Nothobranchius furzeri: one gene and its partners. The protein of the gene in region 3 interacts with the protein of the main gene of each other region in a biochemical or structural test. Links are inferred from orthologs where the notes say so. Each region holds a gene or a part of one and is shown on either strand. Other genes may lie near its edges.

Region 1 (4,273 bases), on a different chromosome or scaffold from region 3:
CCTTCACTGTTGAGCTTTTTCTGTAAATCATAAAACTTAACTGAGTAACTTAAATTTTCATCTTGTATTTATGACTGGGGGGGGGGGGTGGCTCTGTTGGTTAATCCTTTATTAGAAAAATAACATCTTAAATCATTTAGATCCTGTTGTTGTCAGGAATCAGTCTTGCTGCTTCCCATCTAACTGAGGTTTATATCCTCAGTAATGCGTGTCTCTCTGAGCTAAACGGCTGTTTAGTCTGGTTACATTGGTTAGTCCTTATAATGTGTTTCTGGAAATCATTTCACTATTCCCTCGAGTTCTACTTAGTAAGCATTTTTGCAAAATTTTCTTTATCTTTCGTTATTTTAGATATATGGCAGTTTTTAACCTAATGATGGTCTCATGCGGTAATGATTTGACCTGTCTCCAACTGACTCGACTATTCCTTATCCACAGAATGTTTTCTACTCAGTGGATCAGCCAGGGTTAAATACTACAGCTCTTTTGCCATTGGCTAGAACAGGTTGGGAGCTTTCTTGTTGGTCAGGCACTGTTTGGCTTGTTTTGTTGTAGGATTGGGTTAGTTTGAACTGTTCATGTGTTGAATTCATTTGTTTTTACTCACTGATATTTACAGACACATTAAAACATTTTTTATTGTTTTTAAGTTGAACATTTCAATGTAATGCTTCTCCAGAACAACTGAGGGTAATTAAATAAACCATATTTTAAACCTAGGCTGGTGTTAGATTAGTTGGAGAATTGGGAGTGAAGCATACCTGCAGCTTCTGATTTCAACCTCAACAGAATTGTTTTGACCAGTTTGAAGTGTATTTTTATATAAAGGATATAAGTAATTACTATTTTATTTAGCTTTCTGAATGGACTGAAACATTCAACAGGATTGATGAGCTAACAGCTAGTTTAAGTGCAATCACAACTTGAAAAATGTCATAGCAGTTTAATAATGTAATTTAAAAAGAGTACAAATTAGTTTTAATTCTCTCTGCTTCTTTTGTGCCTCATCAACAGTCATAACATGTTTTTCAGGAAAATTCTTCAAGCTTGTTAGATCTGTTTTATTTAACTGCATGATCTAATATAAAACACAGGCCCAGAATCATTTGAACCTATTACTTGGTCCCATTTCTGTCAGCTCTGGTTTGCAGTTTCCACTAAGGTATGAACTACGGGTGAAATTATACAAATTGATTATGTATTTTTAAACCAGATGAGTTTTAAAGGCCACTCTTTAACCCTGCGTGTTAACTTTGCTACAGGAACAAACAATGGAAGAGCCGGGGTTAAAGCATGGACATAAACACAGAAATGTCTATAGAGTTAAGTAACACATATCATCGGGCATCTGCCTCCCTTCATTACTCCGTAATCTTTAGAGAGCCTGAAAGGGGTTCCTGAAGTAGAGAAGTACAGAAAGACACTGGTGTCTGGGAAAGGCTCCTCCTGTCAAAACCTCCTTTTAGTGCAAATGTCAAATTTATGATTTATAACCCCGAAGGTCCTTGGAAGTTTTCAGAAAAGGGCAGAAACCTTTGAACAACAAAAACTAGCTGGCTTCTTATCGGGCCCATATGTCTTGATCAACACTTTAAAAACATGATATATACGGTTTAATCTCTAGAAGTGTTGCTTTGAGAACAAAGCAGCGGAGTGCGCATCGTGAAGGTATATCAGACGGATGCTGATTCATGTTCTATATTTTATGCGTTTTTGGCGCTGCGGAGGCCACGTGACCAGGGCGGAAAGTGACTCATAGTCCACGCTGAATCTGCCGCGAACGCAGCCATTTACTCTTTCCTCTCTTCGCAGTGACACCGGTGAGTCGCTAGTTTCCTCTTCAATTGAGGGCCTTCCTAAATGTCAAGTTTGGATTGTTTTTAAGTCACTAAGAATGAAACAAAACTTTTTGGGTTATTTTCTTCTTTTGGGTTAAGGTCGTTTTGCATGTGCAGCCTTAACAGCAGTTGAGGGGGAAAGGCCGTCGCATTTTTTGTGCTACCAGCTAACGGGGAAGAATGGCTTCCATGCTGTGCTAGCTGTGAGGCTAGCGAGCACAGCAATGCTCCATTTCACGGCTTTGTTCTGGGATATTTGTTCCTATTACTCTTATTTGTGTATATTTGCCAGGGAGTTTTCACAATTTTTTCTTGTTCGCAATTAACGTTATTTACGGAAGGCGTCTTGTTTAGACCAGAAATTGACGGCAACATGGAACGCATTAGCTTCTGTGACTGTCTGATTGTTCCAGTCGAACCTGAAAAAGTGCGCTCAGGCATCATATGGCGCACTAAACTAACGCCTGTTAGCTTGAAGGCTAGTTGGTAACCGCCAGTGCTGAGGCTTTTGGGGGGCACGGTAGCTTTGTTTTACTTTATATTTTGGCACACCGGAGAGCAGTTAGAGGCTGTTTGTTGATGCGTTAGCAAGCTTTCATAAATTATAACGTCGCATTTGAACATGTCGGAACGTTAGCTTGGATAGAACATGCTAGAAGTTATCCCTTAGCTGTAAACTCGTCTGTACAGAATGGTGCGTGTTCAAAGCCCCGTGTGAACAATATTCCCAGAATGCCAAATTGAGTTATTGAGAATCTTTAACTTAAATCAACGTATAGATAACACTAACGGTAGATTCCCGCCTTGTTTGTTTCAGAATATTTGGAACCATGGCTGACTCTATGGGACAGTGTGTACCTGTGGCGGTGTTCAAGGTAAGAATCTACTTCTTAAGAATGATGTTAAGTATGATCTAATTATGGCGCGTGAGGGCAAAAATGTGTGCGTTTTAGCTGAGGTAACTGGTGTACCAGCACAAACCGGTCAGTAGATAACTGGTCTGTTCTTCACAGCTGGTGTTGGTCGGAGATGGAGGCACGGGAAAAACAACTTTTGTGAAGAGACACATTACAGGAGAGTTTGAGAAGAAGTATGTTGGTGAGTAACCTGAGAAAGTTAAATGTAAACTGTACAAGACTAACCCAGTGTTTGTTTTTACCAAATTAGGTTTGCCACTAATGTTTAGAACATCACATTTACAGAAAATATTGTAAAATCGCTGCATCACAAGTTTATGACACAGACGTGTAAAATGCACAGTTCTGGTCTTCCTGTGAAATTAGTGTTTGTTGAAATTACTTCATAAAACAAGTGGTTTTTATTATTCTTGTAGTTGAAAGATAAACACAACTATTTCATGTCCATGTTATTTAAAACCATTCTCTTATCAAGTCTATGAATAATAGGCCAAATAAGAATGACTGTCCTCAGTAATCCCAAAGAGTGCAAAAATGCAGAAATTCTAAGTACTAGTTACTCCATATAGCTAGCTATAAATGACTTCCAGCATCAGTCACATAACTGATTGTAGTAGATGGAAAATCAAGCAATACCAACCTTTTTATATATTAGTTTAACAAACTTGGTGTCATTCTGCAATGTCTGAAATTCTACAACTAACAGCTGCTTTGGGTTGGTGATGTTTTTAAATGGAAAACGGTAAAACAATGAGTCAAACATTATTTTTTGTGAAACTATACAGGGTTTAAACTTGTAGATAACATCTTTGTCCTAATTTATATTGAAAAGAATTGAATGGGAGAGAAGGGAGATCCTGGATGAATACTGTTCCCGGTATTATAAATATATTAACATGTCAAACATTCAACATAAAGATGATGAATAATGTGTACTTTATTGATCCCCTTGGGGAAAATCATTCTGTTTGATTCATTCATGAGAAGCATTAAGCTACCATTTCTATGCCACCTGGGATCTGTTTTCTAGTTTATAACTTGTATCATAATTCTAGGATTAAAGTTCATTTGACCCTCTCTGTGAGTTTAGATTAATTTCTTGATCTCCTGCATCTTTTTTTAGCTACTCTAGGAGTAGAAGTGCATCCCCTGATGTTCCACACCAACAGAGGACCCATCAAGTATAACGTTTGGGACACAGCTGGTCAGGAGAAGTTTGGAGGGCTGAGAGATGGCTACTACATTCAAGGTGCTTCTTCAATCTTTAATCATGATACCAGCAGCTGGATGCATTTAGTGTCACCTTTCTTCTTCATTTGATCAAATGTACCCGCTCCTCCTACAGCTCAGTGTGCTATCATCATGTTTGATGTCACCTCTCGAGTCACCTACAAGAACGTGCCCAACTGGCACCGTGACTTGGTCCGCGTCTGTGAGAACATTCCCATTGTCCTCTGTGGCAACAAGGTAGACATCAAAGACAGAAAAGTCAAAGCCAAAAGCATCGTGTTTCATCGC
Region 2 (4,255 bases), on a different chromosome or scaffold from region 3:
GGGAAAAATAATCTCGATTAAAGTCAAAAATTTCGATAACGATACATTTTTAATTTATTGCCCAGCCCTATCTAGAGAGCACGTTAAACTCGCTCTAGATTATCTAGTCCAAAGTTCAGTTAAAAGTAGAAAAATTCTTTAAAAGGCCCGAGCAGGTGTGGAACAAGGTTGAGATGACGGAGAGCACGGCATCTTTACTTCTCCTTTCAGATACGAAGTCATTAGCCCCGTGTCTGAGGCTTCAGAGTGGTATTTCAGGCAAAGAAATAATTACTCCTGTTTTTCCGTGTCTTTAACTCTAGATTCCAGTTGTGGAACCAATGGTGTTAAAAAGCCGTCGGATGGATCACTTGTGACCCAATCCCTCTTCCTGAACAACAAAGAGCATTCAGCCTCGCTGGCCAAGTCACTGGTAAGAACTGGCCAAGCCTCAAGTCAAGCCAAGGCTTTCAAAGCTGAGGTTTGGCTAGGATGTTGTTGAAGCAGCTGCTTTTTGCTTTTTCCCCCATGAACATATGAGTAACAGCACACATTTATTTAATGAAGAAGAACAATAAAACAACCTTTTTTCGTATTAAAAAATCCTGGAAAATCACATAAATCTAATTTACTGAAATTCGAATGAAATTTATTTTGTCTTTAATGCAGTCAAAAAGGGTTGTAACTAGAGGTTGACCGATATTGGTTTTCTATTGCCGATACCAATGCTGATATGTAGGAGACATGGTCAGCCAATGGATAAGTACTGCAGATAGTCATGGCTGATATCTGGACGTTTTCCACCTTTTCATGTTAAATTGTCACTAATAACATCAGCTGATGCACAAAATTTCTGAAGCTGAATCAGTTTTGAACTCTGAACCTTGTGCACTGCTCAGTGTCAAAGTCAGACACCTAAATAATGTAAATTTAGAGTATTTGTTATGCGGATGTTATTGGTGAATGTAAAAATACATTGAAACTAAATTCTGCTGCAGCACCTGCCTGCACGAGGATGTGTCTGACTTTAAATCGACTTTACTAAGGACGGATATCGGCCGATGTCTAAACAAACTGTAAATATTGGCCAGATATATAGGTCTATCGTCCATTGTATTATATGCTACATTTGTAAATGGCCCTGGTTAGATGGTAAAAGAACAGAAGTCTTTGTTTTTTGTTTCAGAAACATGAAAATAAGGAAGACGAGGAGACTGATAAAGATGGAGAGAGAAGAGAGACGGATGCAGATATAGCAATATCTTTTGTGTTTGGTCAGAATATCAAAGACAGGGCAAAGGTGGGTTGCTTCTGTAGTTTTGTGTGACTTACAGTGATGGTTCAGATCAGTCCGCATGTTGGTAGACGTTAACTATCTCTGAAAAGTTCACTGTGTTGAGATTTGTTATTACCTCTACGCTCATTTTGTTTATAAAAGTCACTTTTTCTTTTTGTGTCGGTCTGAAAGACTGAGAATTTTCTGTTGCGGTTTGTTGTTCCGTTTCATTAGATGCTGTTGTCTTTATTTCCCTTTAGTTGGATGAGAACAGTACAGAAGACAACTCAAAGAACAATGTGCAACAAAACTCTCAGTCAGAGGGCACGAATTATTTCTTACAGTACATCTCTACCCCAAGGTAATGACATTTTGTCCTGTGTATAATTTCAGCTGAAATCTTTGTGGAGACTTACGTGTTTCTCTCTTGTATTCTAGTTCAAAAAATGCAACAAACAGTACAGACGGTGGAGCAAAATTTGTATTTGGGCAGAATATGTCTGAGCGAGTTCTGGTGAGTTCATTTGGGTGGTTGCGTGGTTTGCCAGTGGTGTGCTATACTGGAAAAACTGTGATGATTTAACGCCAAACGGGTTCCACTGATCAGCTGTTGTGTTTGCAGAGTCCCCCAAAGGGAGAGGCCTCAAATGAGGAAAATACGGAGGTTTCAGCTGCTTGTGCTTCAGAGCCTTCATCACAGGAAACTACCCCCGAAAAGGGTAAAAATACAATAATTCGTTCAGTTTTGGGGATAAATGGATGTTGTTTTGCCTGCTTAGCAACAAATGTGGGCCACAAATGACAAATTCTAGTCGCTTACTGAGAAGTTGCTGAATCCACAGCAAAGATGGATTAGCAGCTTGATTTTTGGAGTCACTGTTTTAACTATAGATGGTTCCAGTCCCACATCCTTTTGCTTGTGGACGTTCATACTGAAGTGACTGCTTTGTCAGTGTTGGAATCACAGCAGCCTGTTAAGTTGTGTTTCGTCTCAACAGCCAACAGTGTGTCAGAGTCTTTGGCGGAATCCGCAGCAGCTTACACCAAAGCCACAGCCAAGAAGTGCATCTTAGAGAAAGTCGATGTGAAAACTGGAGAGGAGTCGGAAAGCAATGTTTTACAGGTATGAGACGAGGCAGGGCTTCTGAGTGTGGCGCATGCTGTGACTAAACACCGGTGTAACACAAACCTTTGCTGTTTTTCTTTTTATTACAGATGCAGTGCAAGTTGTATGTTTTTGAGAAGACGGCTCAGTCGTGGATAGAAAGAGGTCGGGGGTTGTTGAGACTCAATGATATGGCTTCGACGGATGACGGCACACTTCAGTCTCGCTTAGGTAAACGTACCTGCAGGCTAAAAAAATAAACGTAGCACCGTTGATACTGTTTGAGTGTTTGAGTCTCCCCCAGCAGTGTTCACTTTCATCACCGTTACGGTTCATGTTGCAAGAAATAAATTATCATGATGTACGCTCATGTAAGGTCACAGAAAGGAAACCTACATTTCGTTTTATTCCTCATCATGCACTACCTCACTTTGAGCACAAGGGGGAGACGAATCATTCCATGATCCTATTAAATGGACATCACATCACACGCAAGAACTTGGATCTGGTTGTTTGGTTTTTACTTTATTGTTTGATGTAAAATCTATTAATGTCAAATTTGTTTTGAGTTGAAGTTTCTTACTTTCTGTTTACATTTACACGGCATTAGAAATTATTCCTTGTCACAATACTCTTGTTTTCATAAAAAACTCATATCGTTTATGAAGTAAATGAAACAAGTGGCTTCTTCAAGCTGGGCCTCAGCACTGACTTGTCATTGTGTGAATGATGTTATTCCAGTGATGAGGACCCAGGGCAGCCTGCGGTTGATCCTCAACACTAAACTTTGGCCGCAGATGCAGGTGGACAAGGCCAGTGAGAAGAGTGTGCGAATCACCGCCATGGACACGGAGGACCAGGGGGTCAAGGTCTTCTTAATATCAGTATGTATTGTTGAACATCTTACTAAGTTTTATTTCTAGGATAACATTTTTTTTATTCATTAATTTCCTCAATAAAAATACAAAACGTTTAGTTGTTATTAAAAAGCATTTCCAGATGATTTAGTAAATGGGCTAAATGAAAGGGTTTGACTTAAACTCACCCACTCCTGTTGCCATCAGTCTGACCCTTGGATAAATGTGCTTGTAGAGAAATAAGAGCCAAAAAAGTGGAAACAAGAGAAAGATGGAAATGTAGATTGTTTTTGTATAAAGTAACGCAGACGTTACCTGCTCCTCTGCCCTACTGGTTCAATGCGGAATTACAACTACTGTAAATAACCCTGCAGCAGCCTGCTGTAGCTAGCACTACCAACAAGCTAATACTAACATGTGGCAAGTCTTACTAAATAAGCAACAAATCAAAAAGATGGACAAACAATAATATTACCGTATTGACCCGGATATAGGACGACCTTGATCCTAAAACGACCCCCCTTTCCAAGACTAATCTTAAGGAAAAGGCAAAAAAAAAAATCACTTTTTAAATAAACAATTTTTATTGAAATTTTGAGAACAAATACTGAGCAAAAATACTATTTTAATGCAAACTATCAGAACTTTGCTGACATGTGAAATAGGGCTGCAACTAACGATTATTTTCATAATCGATTAATCTGTCGATTATTTTTTCGATTAATCGATTAATCGGTTTGTTATTGTTTAGCTATTTAACCTATACAAGTGATGGATGCATTTCAGTTAAGAACAAAAAAACATAAGAGAATTGTGCAGTTGACTGCAATCTATTTTATTGCACATGAACACAGTCAGCAGTATAAAATGAGCTAAACAGTGCAAAATATCAGTCCAGAATAATTTTTAGCATTAGCTGGAAGCCTGCTCCTTCCACCATGGATAGTGGCCTCATGTCTTTTACCAGCATGTTTAGAATAGAGTTTGTAAGTGGTATGAATTGCTGGGGGGTGAGTGTCTTCTTCCCCATGTAGTTGT
Region 3 (4,355 bases):
GCGTCTACATCCTGCACTGATATCACAGATCTGGATCAGGTTCGGGGAACCGTCTGTGGATCTGTTCGCGGCTCGTGAAAACGCTCAGTGTCGCCTGTGGTTTTCCCTGAGTCCCCGGGACGGACCCCCGCTCGGGGCGGACGCCTTCTCACACCAGCCCTGGCCTCGAACGCTCCTTTATGCGTTTCCACCAGTCCCTCTGATTCCCCGTCTCCTGGACCGAATTCGGTCGGAACAGCTCTCGGTGATTCTGGTGGCTCCCAGACGCGTGTCCGCGTCATGGTTTCCGGACCTGCAAGCGCTAGTGTCCGGCTCCCCGTGGAGGCTCCCGTGGAGGGCGGACGCCCTTCTCCAGGCGGATGGGATAATCAAACATCCTCTGGAAATAGGCCAATGGCTGTGGGTCTGGCCGCTGAGCGGTCACGCTTAGAGGCTTCTGGGCTGCCGCATGATGTGGTCGCCACGATTCAGAGTGCGCGGGCGCCCTCTACCATTGCGTCTTACGCTGCTAAATGGGCAGCTTCCAGAACTGGTGTGCAGAACGGAATGTTCAAGCGCTCTCCTGCCAGCTGGCGGATGTCCTATCGTTTCTGCAGATACTGATGGACAGGGGCCTCGCATTCAGCACTGTTAAGACATATGCTGCAGCTATCTCATCATGTCATCAGGGTTTTGGAGATAGATCTTTTTTCAATCATCCCCTCACAAAACGTTTTCTAAAAGGTGTCAGGAGGAACAGACCTGTGTCCCGCCCGCTTTTTCCCCAATGGGATCTAACGGTGGTTCTGCGTGGCTTATCTGAAGCTCCATTTGAACCCTTGGACCAGGTCTCACTCAAGTTCCTGTCGCTTAAAACTGCATTGCTGCTGGCGCTAGCATCAGTTAAGAGAGTGAGTGACCTAACCACCCTCTCAGTGGCTCCCGCATGCCTCAGGATCCGGGAGGATGGCGGATCTGCTGTTTTATGCCCCAACCCAGCCTTTGTGCCCAAAAGCATTAATGCTTCCTTCAAATCCAGGTCAATCTCATTGGCTGGACTTTTTCCTCCTCCCCATAATTCTGAGGAGGAGGCGGCTTCTCACCTTCTCTGCCCGGTGCGCGCGCTTGCACGATATGTGTCACGCACTTCAGGGATTCGTCGCTCACAAAACCTGTTTGTGCACTACAGGGAGTCTTCCCTTGGTCAGGCGCTGTCGGCCCAGCGCCTTTCACGCTGGCTGTGTGACGCCATTTCCCTCGCTTACACATCATCAGGGCAGGATCCCCCTGAGGCACTCAGGGCTCACTCAGCCAGAGGGATTTCTTCTTCGATGGCGCTCCTCAGTGGTGTGTCAATGGAAGACATTTGTCAGGCTGCTTCATGGGCTTCCCCATGTTCCTTTACTCGTTATTATTTACGAGATGTGTCTTCAGGATCCATCACTCGTTCAGTGCTTGGACCCCAGCAGGCTAAATGAATGCTTATGGCACCCCATTGGCCTTGCTGAGATGGATTTCATCCTCTTGTGGATGATGTTTTTTAGTGGGGGCCCCTCTCTTATCGTGCCTGCCTCAGTCTTTAAGCCTGGTCTGAGGCTGAACGTCCCCCACTAGAGGAGATTTGATTGGGTGTGTCCATTGGTTGTGTTAACCAGTGGGGCGTAAACCCATCCAGCTGCGCTTTATTCCAATAGCAGCTAGCTTAAGGGCTAAGACTAGACGAAATAGAACGTTGGTTACGTTTTGTAACCCCAGATTCTATGAGTCTAGTTGCAGCCCTTAAGCCACTGGCCCCACTGGTTATGATGGGAATAAGAGCCATTGGAGGTGAGCAGTGGGGTCACTGCGGTTATATACCACGAGGGGGCCCACTATTGGTGTGCGTACATTTAAGCTCTTCATGATTGGCTGATGCAGAGATCATCCTTCCAATAGCAGCTAGCTTAAGGGCTGCGACTAGACTCATAGAATCTGGGGTTACAATACGTAACCAACGGTCTAAAATCACGCTTTCTCGGTTTTAAATAGAAATGTGTTTTAAAAAGCTCTACCGTAAGGGGTGCTTTAACCAAACCAGCATGTCAGAGACAGACAGACAGCACACGAAATACCACAAATCTACTGAATCGGAGGCTTTGCAACATTAATTACTAACCTTTAACAAGAGCACGTGTGTGTGTGTGTGTGTGTGTGTGTGTGTGTGTGTGTGTGTGTGTGTGTGTGTGTGTGTGTGTGTGTGTTGCTACAGCAGTAAACACGGCCAATTTAAACCCGTCGCCTGACCTAACACTGTTGTCAACACCCATGTGCCACTGCTAACATTCTGAGTTAGCTGTTTTACGATCCAATCTGAAGGGAATTCTTCACTCCCAATAAACGTGACGCACCTATTACACTTCCCCTAACAAACAGTAAAGAAAATACACGATTTCACATAAAATCATTTATTTTTGGGCAATAAATAAAAGCTGTATGAGACTGAATTACTTTCTAGCTGTTGCCTGCTAGCTATCGGTGTTAGCATCACACCGAGGAATGAATTCATTATTGTAACAAAGTTTCTGTTCGCTGACCAGTAATATGTTCATATGTTACTGTCGGCTGTTTGTTCAACAACTTGGGTTTAAGAGCAGAAGAGTTACTGACCTGAAAACACAGATAAATTGGTGGTTTGACTAGAGGTGAACGCTAAACTGCCTGTTCCCGGTTTTCAGACATGCAACTCACGCGAGACTTCACGTTGTTTGAAACCTGTGGAAGGCTGGTTTTCTTAAAGAGACCGCGGCACTTAAAACGCCATCCAATGGGTAATGATCTGATGTGCTATTATTGTACAGTACCATTTTTGTACCTCAACCAAGTATAGCAAGCATTTTCTTTCTTTCTATCTATCTATCTATCTATCTATCTATCTATCTATCTATCTATCTATCTATCTATCTATCTATCTATCTATCTATGTCAAATATACACATCTTGCAGAAAAAAAATAAACAAATTAACATTTAGGCAGATAAAAACTGTCAGAAGCAAACTGGAATCACAATTCTCTATGCAAAAAACCCACAATGTTATGAGCAAAAGATTAATAAATAAATAAAAATATACTGTAGACAATTTTCAAGTACTGAAGTTTTACATCCATTTTTACTGCAGAATAATTATGTCACACTATGTTTTTTTTAATGCTTATAGCATACAGGTGGCCAATTCTCACAGAAATATATATTTAGGTAACATTACATTCAGACTCAGCTTTCAGTTAAATGCTCTGCATATTTGTAACCCTTTTATGCACAGGCCCATGTCTAGGTCTCCCTGCTAGCGCCTGCTCTTTGTTGGCCTCACATGCTTCAGCATGATACTCAGACACTCTCCAGCCTGGTCTTATCTTTGTTTTAGTTTTATGTCTGTGAAAGGGAATGCTAGCCTTAAGTAGTGCATTCACTGTCATCATACAAGTTACCTACTGCTGCTATGTGTTCTACGGAAAGTACGAGTTATGTCTATTTCAGTTGATGTAATCTTGAACACATATAATTAAAATAGGTTTAATGAATTTTAGTAATTAAGTAGTTTGTATAAATGAAGCCATTCTGTTTTTACTGTTATCTAATATCTGTCTATGCTGTTAATGCTAACCCGTGGTCATTTTAAAGGTGTTTTATTTTGAAGGAACCTACAGGAAGTGCAGAGTTTTGTCTTGTGTAGCGTTATAAATGTTGCCTGTTAGTAACAGCATTCATCCGCTAGAGGTCAGAAAAATTCTTACTCTTGAAAGCAAGTCACCCCCAAATAAACTTATTTTTTGCTGATAAACTACATAAATGAATGTCGTGCTGTAGACAGGTGTAGTCAATAATTTTGTACTTTAATGCATCCTAGTTAAAATGTAAAAATTCTGCTTAAAACTGTCAGTGTTGCGCCCTCTTCAGGTAAAACCTCTGCACTGCATTTGAATTGAAATCTGCCATTGCTGTTGGCTAACAGGTACACAATGACGTTAGCTGGTACATTATGATGTCACAGTGTCGTTGTGACCCTGTGTGTGTGTGTGTGCATTTGTAAGCGGCTCCGCCCTCTCAGTCAGGGTTGGGCATCATTTGATTTTGAACCATTCCGATTCTAATTCCTCAGTTTGATTGCGGTTCCTATCGATTCCCGATTCCAATTCTTTGAAGTCATGACATGTGGTACATGAGCCAGCTAACCACAGGTCCTACTTGATGAAATAATCTTAACTTCAACATGAATTTTAATTCTATGAACAATAACATCACCTTCATTTGGACAAAAACGTGTTTTGGAGGAAAAAAGAAAAAGACTTGCAGCACAACCAGTGTGTTTGTTTCTGACCACAACCAAAGTCTGGAAGC

Evidence for each region.
Region 1: the proteins of rcc1 (region 3) and ran form a complex in vitro, tested with the Homo sapiens proteins (6 studies listed by BioGRID and IntAct, with this or other methods). The link is inferred for Nothobranchius furzeri from reciprocal best matches to the Homo sapiens genes RCC1 and RAN.
Region 2: the proteins of rcc1 (region 3) and ranbp3b form a complex in vitro, tested with the Homo sapiens proteins (2 studies listed by BioGRID). The link is inferred for Nothobranchius furzeri from reciprocal best matches to the Homo sapiens genes RCC1 and RANBP3.

The regions. Positions count from the first base shown.
Region 1 is NC_091741.1:91,738,000-91,742,272, forward strand, and holds the start of ran (GTP-binding nuclear protein Ran), read left to right. Parts: upstream 1-953; 5' UTR 954-1,820; intron 1,821-2,313; exon of another isoform or gene 2,314-2,532; intron 2,533-2,655; 5' UTR 2,656-2,668; coding exon 2,669-2,713; intron 2,714-2,851; coding exon 2,852-2,936; intron 2,937-3,878; coding exon 3,879-4,004; intron 4,005-4,100; coding exon 4,101-4,273. UniProt on the Homo sapiens protein: GTPase involved in nucleocytoplasmic transport, participating both to the import and the export from the nucleus of proteins and RNAs. Switches between a cytoplasmic GDP- and a nuclear GTP-bound state by nucleotide exchange and GTP hydrolysis.
Region 2 is NC_091751.1:45,070,253-45,074,507, reverse strand, and holds part of ranbp3b (ran-binding protein 3b), read left to right. Parts: intron 1-302; coding exon 303-412; intron 413-1,165; coding exon 1,166-1,279; intron 1,280-1,515; coding exon 1,516-1,616; intron 1,617-1,693; coding exon 1,694-1,769; intron 1,770-1,877; coding exon 1,878-1,974; intron 1,975-2,253; coding exon 2,254-2,378; intron 2,379-2,470; coding exon 2,471-2,591; intron 2,592-3,101; coding exon 3,102-3,244; intron 3,245-4,028; exon of another isoform or gene 4,029-4,255. UniProt on the Homo sapiens protein: Acts as a cofactor for XPO1/CRM1-mediated nuclear export, perhaps as export complex scaffolding protein. Bound to XPO1/CRM1, stabilizes the XPO1/CRM1-cargo interaction. In the absence of Ran-bound GTP prevents binding of XPO1/CRM1 to the nuclear pore complex.
Region 3 is NC_091745.1:40,106,533-40,110,887, reverse strand, and holds the start of rcc1 (regulator of chromosome condensation), read right to left. Parts: upstream 2,732-4,355; 5' UTR 2,626-2,731; intron 1-2,625. UniProt on the Homo sapiens protein: Guanine-nucleotide releasing factor that promotes the exchange of Ran-bound GDP by GTP, and thereby plays an important role in RAN-mediated functions in nuclear import and mitosis.